Struthio camelus: one gene and its partners. The protein of the gene in region 2 interacts with the protein of the main gene of each other region in a pairwise test. Links are inferred from orthologs where the notes say so. Each region holds a gene or a part of one and is shown on either strand. Other genes may lie near its edges. The genes, in order: BMAL2, EPAS1 and BMAL1.

Region 1 (3,746 bases), on a different chromosome or scaffold from region 2:
GAGAACAATCTATTTATAGGGTAACTTAAAAACAGAACACTGGATTTGTTTTTAATACCATGAAACAGTGAAAAGAAAAATTATTATTTCCTGAATTACAGAAAAGATTTTAAACTAAACATATTAATACAGGCTACTGAATATTTTATACATCTATTTTTACTTAGTTACTTTAACCATTCACTCACAAAAAAGGTAGTCAAGAATCATAACTTACCAACTAAATAATACATCTACTTAATAAATCTCAAACACTAAGTATTTGGCCAAACCTATTAGTGTATTAAAAACCTTGACTGTAACCAGCTAGTGAAGAGATACCACACAAGCCCTTGAAAGGTCACCCTGCTTCCCCAGACACTTCCAGGGTCAAATCAGGTCACTGATAGAAATCTAGAGTCTCATGTATCTTAGTTCATTACTAAAAAAAAAAAAAATCTCTCCGATCATATATTGCTAAAGAAATTGAGGCTAGCAGCTCTCTTGTAAGTTTTAGAACCAAATTTTTTTTTTTTTTTGAGTAAAATGATAACTTTGTCAAGTTTGCAGTAGAACTTCCGTGGTTTAACGGGCCCAGTTGTCAAAGAAGGGAATTTTCAGAGTATTGATATTGATTCACTTCCCACAATCACCCACAAAGTGATTTTCTTCTTACAGTGAATTAGACTCTTTAGCTGATGTGAACTGCCCAGTCCGGAGTTTGCTTTTCCTAATATGCAATAGTAAGAAAAAGATGTTGTTAAAATGAAAAACTGCTAAGCTGACCTATTCCAATCTTTAGGTCCTTTATACAAGTTAAAAAATTTACACCTTTTAAAATGTTAATTGATTAACAGAAAGAGACTCTGTTTCTTCAAAATATGTTAGAAGAATTAGTAGAAGCATAAATAACAAAAGAAATCAGAGCAGGCGGAATTCTTTCACAATATAACATAAAAACCTACTGTTCATTGCTTTCCCATGGATACTTTCACATGGAAAAGTCCACATATTTTGATTTTTCTTCATTTAGATTATTTCCTTTTCTTACAATATGTGTATGATACAGAAACAAATTCTTAACACAATTTCATAGACAGCAAAAAGAAAAAACCCCTACAAAAAAACCTTTACTTTCAAAAACTAGATTACTTATTACAAAATTATACCAGTATTTAAACAACCAAGCAACAACTAATCTTCATAATTCAGAAACACAGAGATGGAAAAAATACCAACTACTGAGACAACCAGAACCCCCACATATATATAAAAAAAAAAAAACCACATACATACGAATCCCCCAAATACACATTAAAAAGACAACAACAAACCCAGAAGAACTGGTGCTAACTAAACAGAACAGCAATGATGACTTATGAACGATTTGCTCACTTCTGTAGCTCAAAACTCCGTGCAAAACATCTTTTTTTTTCCTCCTCAGATCAACATTTTGAAAGGAGGAAGCAACATACTCATTCCTGCAGCAGGAGGAGCACAAACAGCTGCTGCTGGCTTAACACTAGCCCCGTTTTAGCACCAGAAACTTATGAAGGAGGAGGAATGTCAAACCTCTGCCTCTATACAAGTGCACACACACACACTCACACAGAGAAGCCAAATTCACTACACTCAAAAGTCTGAATTACATCCGCCTGCAGGAAAAAAAAATACTAACACATTAGGGACACATAAAACAATTAGTTGTATATCAGAAAGTGTGTATTACATACTAAGTTAAATACACAGAAAGAAAAATATTTTTAGTGCAGATCACTGAGGTATGATGACACATCTGTAACAGTAATAACAAACCTAAGCAGAGTGTAAACGTTTCTTTGGGAGCCCACAACCTAACACCACTGTGTACCTTAACTAGACTTAAACTAACTGTACCCTAACTGAACTAAACGGGAGAAATCGTTACTCGAGTCCAGGTCAACACGCTGGGGGCCAGAGTATGAACAGCCCCAATTCAGAATACACAGCCCCATGCTGGAAGCATAACCGCTGCGCTGAGGGAAAACAGCGGCCTAAGGGGGCTCCTACCCACGCGGGAAGGTTACACCCCCACCACCACCAACAACGGCCACGCACGGACTGCAGACACGCGCCCTTACCTCCCCGCCCCCCCCCGGCACCAAGGGGCACACAAGCCCCCTCCTCCCCTACCACACCCCACACACCCCCACCCCGCACCACTCACGCACCCACGGACACCCCGACACCCGCGCGCGAGTCCCGCCCGTTACAACACCTCCCCCCCCTTCTTTCGCCCCCCACAGCCGTTACCCCGCCGCCGGGGGCACCCCGCCCCCCGCCTCCAACGGCTGCTCCCCCCGCCGCGGCGCGCGCGCCCCCGTCGCTCCCCCCCCCCCCACCTTCCGTCGCCCGCCGCTCCTCCTCGGCCCCCTCGGCGTTTCCCGCTCCTGCCTCGGCCATGGCGGGCTGCCCGTGCCCCGCTCCACAGCGCCCCCGCCACCATGCAGGAGGTAAACTAAGGTGAGCAGAAACCGCCCGTCCTGCCCCCCTGCTCGGCGCGGGGTTGGGGTTGGGGGGGAAAGGGGGAGGGGAGGAGAAGGTCCGCAAGCGCCTCCACAGGCTCCCTCCCCTCCTCCCGTCACCGGCGCCGCCTCAGCAGCGCCCCCGCCGGCGCCATACCCTCCCCCCGCCCCGCCCCGCCCCGCCCCAGCCCTGCCCTGCCCGGCAGGACACTTCTCGCGAGACTTCCGGCCGGGCGGAGGCGGGAGGGGGAGGTGCTGCCGCCCGGCGCGCGCAGGGTGCGGGGGGAGGGGACCAACGGCCGCTGGGGCCTCCCCCCCGCCACAGGAGGGGCCGGGAAGGAACAACGGGTGAAGGCGGTTGGCCGCCTGCGGCCTTCTGGGCGTGCGGCTGCCCCTCAGAGCGGGGCACAGAACAGGCAGGCGCACGAGTACGCGCTGACACACAAAAATAGAGTTAGCTTTGACTAACAGGTGAAACTGGGTGAATGGACCTGGGTTCCAGTAGATGCTCGGGGTGTAGTTGTGTGTTCAGCTTATCGGGAGCGCGCTTTTGAAGCGAATCTGCCCGTCGTCCTCGCCGTGGTTTGGTTCACATCCTGGAGTGGTCTGGGAGCACGCGAACCATATTCTTTTTGCGTGAAACCTAAAGAAGCGCTGTTAAGAGCTCACTTAACGTGGCCCAACTGCTAACGGGCTCTCGCTCCCTGGGACCTCACTGGAGCTAGTCTGAAATACAGCCTCTAGGACACCTGCAGCGCGGACGTTGGGACCTCAGCAACACGGGGATTCACTTGACAGAACCGCTCTTACTGAGGAGCCCAACGTGTTGATGTTGATGTAGCCTCTACCCGCCCAGTTCCAGGTCTGTGTGCGGCAGAACAGACTGTTGCCAAGGCCTCAGACTTCCTCGCCTGAGCCATCTGAATGGGCTGAGCACGTGCCTGCTGCTACCTGTTGAACTCCCATGTGAGGGAATTTGCATGTACAGTGCAGCTGGTGTTGCTCATCAGCAGTAAGGCCGGAACCAGATGATCGGGGACCTATGTGAAGGAAGCTGCTTCTCCAGGTGTACTGTACAGTGGACTTGCAGAGCTCGCGCCTATTATTAGTCGTAGGGGTTCTTTTCGACTTAACAAGATGTGCTAATAAAGATGGAACAGCAGGCTCACTGACTTCATGCCTAAATAAAGGGTGCACGTAGATTACCCTGCAGATGCATGTGTTAACCTAGGACTTAGTCACTGAAGGCTAGTTCCATTGAAT
Region 2 (3,746 bases):
TATATTACCTTGTATTTAAAATGACATATATGATGACATTTCTGTTGATTGAGTTAAAATAATAACCATATTAATCTCAACTCAGTACCTTAGACCAGGTTTTCATGGGACAAATCCGTAGGATAGCCTACTAAGAAGTGCTCCAACATTTGTTCCAAAGAAAACACTGGGTCTTTTCCTGTGACAGAGCAGCTCCAAATGAAAACCTGAGAACGCTCTTCAACTTAAATGGACTATTAAAAGGAATCAAAGATTATCTTCCGTAGAGCATCTGTTTAACAGTAAAAGAACTGCTCCTCTAAGCGTGTGTTCCAGGGTTGCCTGCAAATCTTGTAAACCAGATTACCCCCACCACCTTTCCTCCCTGAAATTGATTTATAAATGCTATTAGCAAGTCAGGTTAGAGTTCCCAGCTGTATATCTGGACAGAAATCAAGCAAATACAACTGCTGAACTCGAGGCAGTAAGTCTGTTCTGTAATAGTAGTGGCAAATAAAACATATCTTGCTCCAGTAGGCTACACAGTACTCCTGCAGTGATATACATATACACATAGACAGGGAGGCACAAGCATGCTATCTTAAGTCACTTCTCATCTGATAGTCTCCCAGCTCTCGCAAACATTAATTTACACAACAAACCCATCAGCCAGATAACAATTATTAGCCTACTTCTGAGAGAGGCAGAAAATTGTCACTAGAATGTCACCGTACTTACTAAAATCAGCGACAGAGCCAGAATTTGAATTCAGACCATCAATGTTTTTCTATATCATATTTTAAAAATATTTCTGAAAGGACTTTAAAGTTTCATGTATTGGAAGATTAGACAGTGCTCATTCTCTTATAGGGACTGAAAATAAGAGGTTAAGACTGAAGAAATTAAGAGTTTCCCATTAAAAGAGACGATACTTTGAATGAACTGAACGATGTATTTTCAATACATACGCTATTTCATTCTAATTCCTATAAACTAAACTATAAAACATTTTATAAGTACATCTTACCATACAATGTTTTACTCTCTTTTTCGACAAAAGAGGATGCATAAAGTACCACTATTTCATGCCTTAAGCAGAACAATAACACCTGGAACAAAATACACTGGAGGTAATTTTTAACCTAAATACATTAATGCTTGATAAACTGAGACTAGAGATGTATAAAATGTATCAGATATACTACAATAGCTCCCCTATTACTTGGTGATAGGGTGACTCAATAAAAAGGAGCTGTTTGACAAACCAAAACACAGTTTTCAAACTATAGTGCATCAGCAACCGAAAAGCGCATGTGACAAACAACAACATAAAATTCTTACTCCGTAAAACACCTCTCTTAGGAGCACAACCTAAAATCAGAACAGGGATGCAACCCGAGCTGATAGCAAGAACAGTCTTATAACTGTCATTTGCATAAAACAGAACAGGTTGCTATAAAACTTAGTGGACCTTTATTCACTTGCTTAGCCTTCACTCCTGTAAGCTCCCTCACCCCTCCTTACGAGTTGTTTACAGCCTTGGAGCCATGGCTTGATACTTCTTTTCTTTATCTCCACCTGTAACCACTATGCTAGGGATCATGAACGTTTCCTTCTGATGCTTAACGTCAAGAATATACTCTCTGATGCAACTACGAAACTCCATTTACTAATGTGCTTCTGCTCCCTTGGGAAAACTCATTACAGCAATATGGAAACGCTTAGCTGTACATCCTCCTCAAAAAGCAGTAATCGGCAAAACGTAATGCTTCATGTAAGGTGCCAAGCGCACTCCTCGACCGTGACGAACCACGCGAGATGTCGCTTTTTGGTCAGCTCTCCCACGTTAGGTGGCCCAAGTTAGGTGGCCCACTTCTTAGGCCGTAGCCAGGAGATGTTGAAATTTACTAGTCTCAGGCGCTTCACGAAAAGTTTACACAACACGTCGACTACACCTGGGCCGTTTTTATGATGAAACATGCTTTGCCGCGGATGCCTCTTTCCAAACCCCATCCTCACCCGAGAGGTTAAATAATTACCCAATAACCGGGGCCCTAATCGATAGCAAGCTACCAAGCCCCGCCGCCGGCACTGAGTTGACCCCACGGCAGACGCGGCCCCCGACGCGCGGCGGCCCGCGCAGCCGCCCGCGGGGACCCTGGGGCAGCGGCGGCCGGCGCCGGGGGGGGGGGGGGGGGGCAGTTTCTCAGGGCAGCGGCTCAGCCCGGTGCCGCCGGGCAAAGGGCAGCCCCGCGGGGAGGCTCTGCCCGGGCGCGGCGCCAGCTCCGCGCCGGCCTCCACCCCGCAGGGCAGCCCGGGGCTGCTGCCCCCCAGCGCCGCCTCAGCCCGGGCCGGTCCGGCCCGAAACCCCCGGCCAGCCGCGCACCGGCTCCCCGCCTGCACCGCCCCGGCCGGCGGGACGCGGCCCCACGCACACGCCCCCCCCCCAACACACACACACACACACGGGAACAGCCCGAGGGGGCGCCCGGCGCGGCCCCACGCGGGACGCCGCGACACCGTCTGGGGAAAGGAGGAGGAGGAGGAGGAGGAAGGGGTCCGAGGAGCGCGCAGCCTCGCCCGCCGCCCCCTCACCTTTTCTTCTCCTTGTCAGCTGTCATCGCGGCGGCTCCTGCGCCGCCTCTCGGGCCGGGCCGGGCCGGGCTCAACACCTGCCCCGGCGCTCAGCAGCGGGACGCGGCGGCTCCGCGGGGGCGGCCCTGGGCGGCGGGTGCGGTGCGGTGCGGGGCCGGGCCGGTAGCCCCGAGGCGGGCGTACAGTCTCAGGACACTGCCGAGGATTGTACAGCCCGCCGGGGCGCGGCGGACGGACGGACAGACGAGAGGACGGGGAGCGGCTCCGGCCGGGCTGTGCGGCGCCGCCAGAAGAAACTTCTCACTTTAAAACTTGGGCCGCCGCCGGCCGCGGGGGCAGGTCCGGCCCCCTCGCCCCGGCCCCGGCCCCCGCCCGCCAATGGGGGCCGCCGCCGCCGCCGCGCCCGGCCTCCCGCCCACGGCACCGGCCGCCCGGGCCGCCGGCAGGGGCAGCGCCGCCGCCGCTCCGCGCCGCTCCCACCCGCGGGCACCGACCCGCGTGGGGCCGGCGGGGATGCCCTGCCTTCCTCGCCGCTTTCACGCCGGGCTGTCAGTTTTGGTTTGGTTTGGTTTGGTTTCTCTTCCCCTCTTCCCCCCCCCCCCCACCCATTACGGTTTTATTTATCTCAAGGTTGCTTTTTCCCGCGGGCGTTTCCCAGCGCGTCCCGCCGCAGCGCTCCGGCCGGGGGGGGACCGGGACGGGACCGGGACCGGGACGCCGCCGCACCTGCCCGCACCCCCCGCCGGGCTGCGGCCCGGGCCGCCGCGGAGTCGCCCGCCCTTCCCCGCTCAGAAACGGGGCCCTGCCGCCGCCCCGGCCCCTAACGCGGGGGGGGGGGGTTGGTGTCGGGGAGAACGACTTATTTCCAAATAAATAAATACTGCAATGAAGGTAAGCGAGTGGCGCGCGTAGCGATGCCCCTGCTGCCTTGGGGGCTACGGATGTGAGCTGTACACGGTGCAGGCGGCCGCCTCCGCACGGGGCGGGGGGGTCGGCCTGAGAGGTATGTGCGAAGGAGCCGGGGCGCTGCAAGGTAAGGCAGTTTAGCGCCTCTGAGCCAGCGATAGTACTTCCCTCCTCTTCCTTGTTTTCCAATTTTATTTACTGTATCGTATGACATTTCTGTTATTTTCTTTAGTTATAAATAACTAAACTTTAAATTTGTAAAATGC
Region 3 (3,746 bases), on a different chromosome or scaffold from region 2:
GTTCTTTTCTTTCAAGAAAACAAAAAAAAAAAAAAAAAAAAGAAAAACACAGACCTCGAGCTTACTAGATACCATCCTCTGAAACTGTGATGGGGACAGACAATGGAAATAGGCTGTGTAAAAGAATACAGGATGAAACAATATATTAATCTATAACCACAACATTTTATTGGGTTATTTTACAGTCCATTTCCACAAGTAGGCATAAAATCATGAATGGTCATGAGAAGTATAAAACCACAAAGCTTAGAAGATGGAAAAGCTTTCCTCTTAATAGGCAAATACTGGTTTAGAATAGTCATATGAGAGCTCTACAGCTTCTGACGCTTCAAATAATGATTTACATTTGCATACCCTTGCAAATACCAAACATCCACATTCTTCGGGGAGCAATGTTTAACCTCAGCCTTCTGCTAGACTATTTACAAAGACAGTTAGCCAGTACTAATAGTCAATTGAAGCAAACAAAACAACTTTCTTTTTTCCCCCTACAGACCTGGCTGCAGTCTATGCATTATCAATTGCTCCCATTTACAAGACCTCTTCAATTAAAAAAACCAAACTATAGTAAACAGGCAGAATAGGCTACTTTAATGCTAACCTATCAAAAACAAATTAAGAAGTAGCTTCATTTTGAATGTTTAAGGACCAACGTTTGGAAGAAATTTTTATTTAAAGCCTGAATGAATTCTACAAAGAAACTGGAGTTCAAAATCATTTACAAAGATGACAGCTATCTGCAGTCGCCCTTTTCTACCCCAGATACTAAGCAAGTTACTTAAAAACTGCTAATAGTATATCTACTTCAAAAACAAGCAAACACACCCACTTGCTTCTTGTAAAAATACTACAACGTTATTTTCAGGTACTAAGAGGTTTATAAAGCTAGTATAATTGAGGCATTGGAATAACAGAAACTTCAGTCATGAAAAACACAATTTGTTCCACAAAAATAAAAAAACGAAATCCTGATCGCAAGAAGCCACTTTAACTGTTGTCAGTATTCTACTTTCACTTTCAAAGAAAAACGTTCCTTCTTAGCAAAAGATACACATACGGCTGTCAGACACAGAGGGCTGAGAAGTAACAGCACCAGACGGGACAGCCTGAGGACCCTAACTTAACCATAAAACATTCATCTCACAAGGAGAGGAGGTAACTGGGCTGTACTGTTAGTAAAAGCAAGAAATCCCACAGCGGCTCTCCATGTGGCTCTAGCTGTCTGCAGGTAGGACTGGCCTCCGTGTCAGAGACTCACAGTCTATCGAGATTTCCAACTACCACCGTCGTTGAGGTGTTAAATACATACACTCCTCGCGCCCCACATAAAGCTGGCTTCAACGCAGGGCACCTGATTCATTGACAAAGATCAAAGGGATCACCTGCGGGACAGAGGCCGAGGGGACCCATCCCTGCTGCAGGGGAGGGAGCACCAACCTCTCGCTACTCCGTGACTTACCTCAGCCACCACACACTCACCCTTAGACGAGGCAAACTCGAGATGGGAAGCAGCAGAGCTAGCGCTGCCACCCCCGAGCTCCAGGAGCCCCGTTCCTGCCCCTTCCTTACTCCCAAGGAGGCGCCGTCGCCAGGACCCCACGGCCCCGGCTCTGCCCTAGGGGCCGGGGCCGGCTGCAAACGGCGGAGGCGGCTGCCGCCCGTCCCGTCCCGCCCCGCCCCGCCCTCTCCGGCTCCCGCCGCACCGAGGCGGCCCGCGCCGCGGCCGCCGCATTCGCCCCCCTCGCTCCGAGGGGCGCCGCCGCCGCCCGGGCCCGGCCACCTCCCCGCGGAGAAGTCGCAGCCCCCGCCTCCCCCGGCGCAGGCGGGCAGCTCCCCCGTGGCCTGCCGCAGGCGGCAGCTCCAGCGGGGCAGCGGAGGGACCGGCCAACCCCGCCCTCCAGGGGGCGACCCCCGCCACCTCGCCAGCGCGAGCCGCGGACTGCCCCTCTCCCCCGCCCCCCCCCCCGCGCGCCCCCCAAACGGTCGCCCACCGGCCGCCTAACGGCTCACCGCGGGCTCACGCGCCCCCGCGGCCGAGGGGGCGGGGGGAGGAGAGGGTCGCTGTCCCTCGGCGGCGCGCGGCGCAGGCAGCCCCCGTCCCTGACCTACTTTCCGCCTGGCTTGCCACCCAACGTCGCACCACTAACCTACTTTCCAGCCAATGGCACCCTCCTTCGGCCCCGGACCGGACGCGCCGGTCCGCCAACGGGCGAGCGGCTCTCCGGCGGCTCTGCCCAATGGCCGGCCAGGCGGGCAGGCAACGCCCGCCCTCCTAAACAGCAGCTAATCCCCGGGCGCCCCCGAGAAGCCAGCCAATCAGAAAGGCGGCTGGGACCTTCAGTCCCGCCTCCTAGCCGCGGGGGAGGCGCGTGCGCGGTGGGGGGGGGGGCGGTTGCGCGGGGGACCCGGATGTGGCGCTCGCGGCGTGGCGGTTTTGGCGGTTGCTTCTCCTGTGGTGTTCCCTGGTGGTGCGCGCAGCGGCGGGCGGAGCGCTGTGCTGCGAGCTGCTCGTCCTTATTCCCTTCAGCAGCCTCACTGCCGCCGCCGTGACTCACCCGTGGCTCTACGTCATTGGTGTGACATCGTCCCGTGCCGTGGCGTCACTTCTGAAGCATCAAGGTCACCGCGGCCTGCCGTGACGTCACTCGGCCTTGCTGCACTTTGCGACCGCCTGTTCTAGGCCTGCCCTCCCCACCTTCTGGCCCAGCATCCGCTGCCGTGGCAAAGCGAGGGCCCATGCCGGCCTGTGTGGCGGCAGCTAAGGCCTGGCCACCTCCAGCATCCTTGTTGCCTCACGGAGCTGGGGGCTTCTCACAGCTGGCCAGAGGCAGTGCTGCCCAGCTCGGGGCAGACAGGCATGTGCCTCATTACTCTTCCAGCATGGACTCCCTGCCCTCGCTGTTTTTCAGCATGACCTGACCATGATTGTCCTGTCATGCTATGCTCCTTCTATCCTACTGCCTCCTCGGCTGCATCCGTAGACTGCAAGGTCGTTCTCAATGACGTCCACCTTCTTTAGCAAACCGCAGCATTGTATCTGCCTCACGTTGCTGTATTGTATGTATATGTTCTTGTATATGATATGACATCTATAAGTTGCTATTGCATCACGTGCACATCATATTTGATGAGACCTCCTTCTTCACTGCACCCTTCAGAATGTCACAGAAGCACATGTACGATGCTGCCCTCAGTTTTACTGCCATAAATGCTATGTCATCTCAGAATGTGACTCTCTAATGCACTGTAAGCTGCAATAATTTTTTTCGGTGTTTAAAAAGGCCAGTGGCAGAGCATGGTAAAGCCGTCCACTACACCATTTTATAGTGCGAACTTAGATATCTTCTAATAATTGAGTCGGAAAACCATCATCCATGCGACAACGCTGGCATGTTAAGGGGATGTGTTGCAAGAACGAAGTTACAACGTAGTTGCAATCAAATGCAAATGTTGTTCAAATGTTACTGTTTTATTACTACGTCAGATTGTCATTGCCACATTATCATTGTCTTAACATTGACATTTCCTGTCTTGGGATGACGTGTCACAAATGTTTGGTTTATATTTACTAATACCACATCACCAGAGAAGTGTGGGTAGCGGTATTATCTAATTACAATGCAGTTGTGGTTATTCTAATCCACTGTCACAGAATGTGAACTCAACCTATGACAGCATTAAGGTTTAGTTTCCACCTAATTGACCTGGAACTCAGCACAGCCAAAAAGTGGCCCCTGTTGGATGCC

Evidence for each region.
Region 1: the proteins of EPAS1 (region 2) and BMAL2 interact in binary tests that used the Homo sapiens proteins (3 or more experiments, as listed by UniProt). The link is inferred for Struthio camelus from reciprocal best matches to the Homo sapiens genes EPAS1 and BMAL2.
Region 3: the proteins of EPAS1 (region 2) and BMAL1 interact in binary tests that used the Homo sapiens proteins (3 or more experiments, as listed by UniProt). The link is inferred for Struthio camelus from reciprocal best matches to the Homo sapiens genes EPAS1 and BMAL1.

What each region holds. Positions count from the first base shown.
Region 1 is NC_090942.1:77,266,804-77,270,549, reverse strand, and holds the start of BMAL2 (basic helix-loop-helix ARNT-like protein 2), read right to left. Parts: upstream 2,622-3,746; 5' UTR 2,422-2,621; coding exon 2,361-2,421; intron 1-2,360. UniProt on the Homo sapiens protein: Transcriptional activator which forms a core component of the circadian clock.
Region 2 is NC_090944.1:108,882,496-108,886,241, forward strand, and holds the start of EPAS1 (endothelial PAS domain-containing protein 1), read right to left. Parts: upstream 2,901-3,746; 5' UTR 2,601-2,900; coding exon 2,575-2,600; intron 1-2,574.
Region 3 is NC_090946.1:25,523,864-25,527,609, reverse strand, and holds the start of BMAL1 (basic helix-loop-helix ARNT-like protein 1), read right to left. Parts: upstream 2,248-3,746; 5' UTR 2,148-2,247; exon of another isoform or gene 2,011-2,147; intron 1,628-2,010; exon of another isoform or gene 1,480-1,627; intron 1-1,479. UniProt on the Homo sapiens protein: Transcriptional activator which forms a core component of the circadian clock.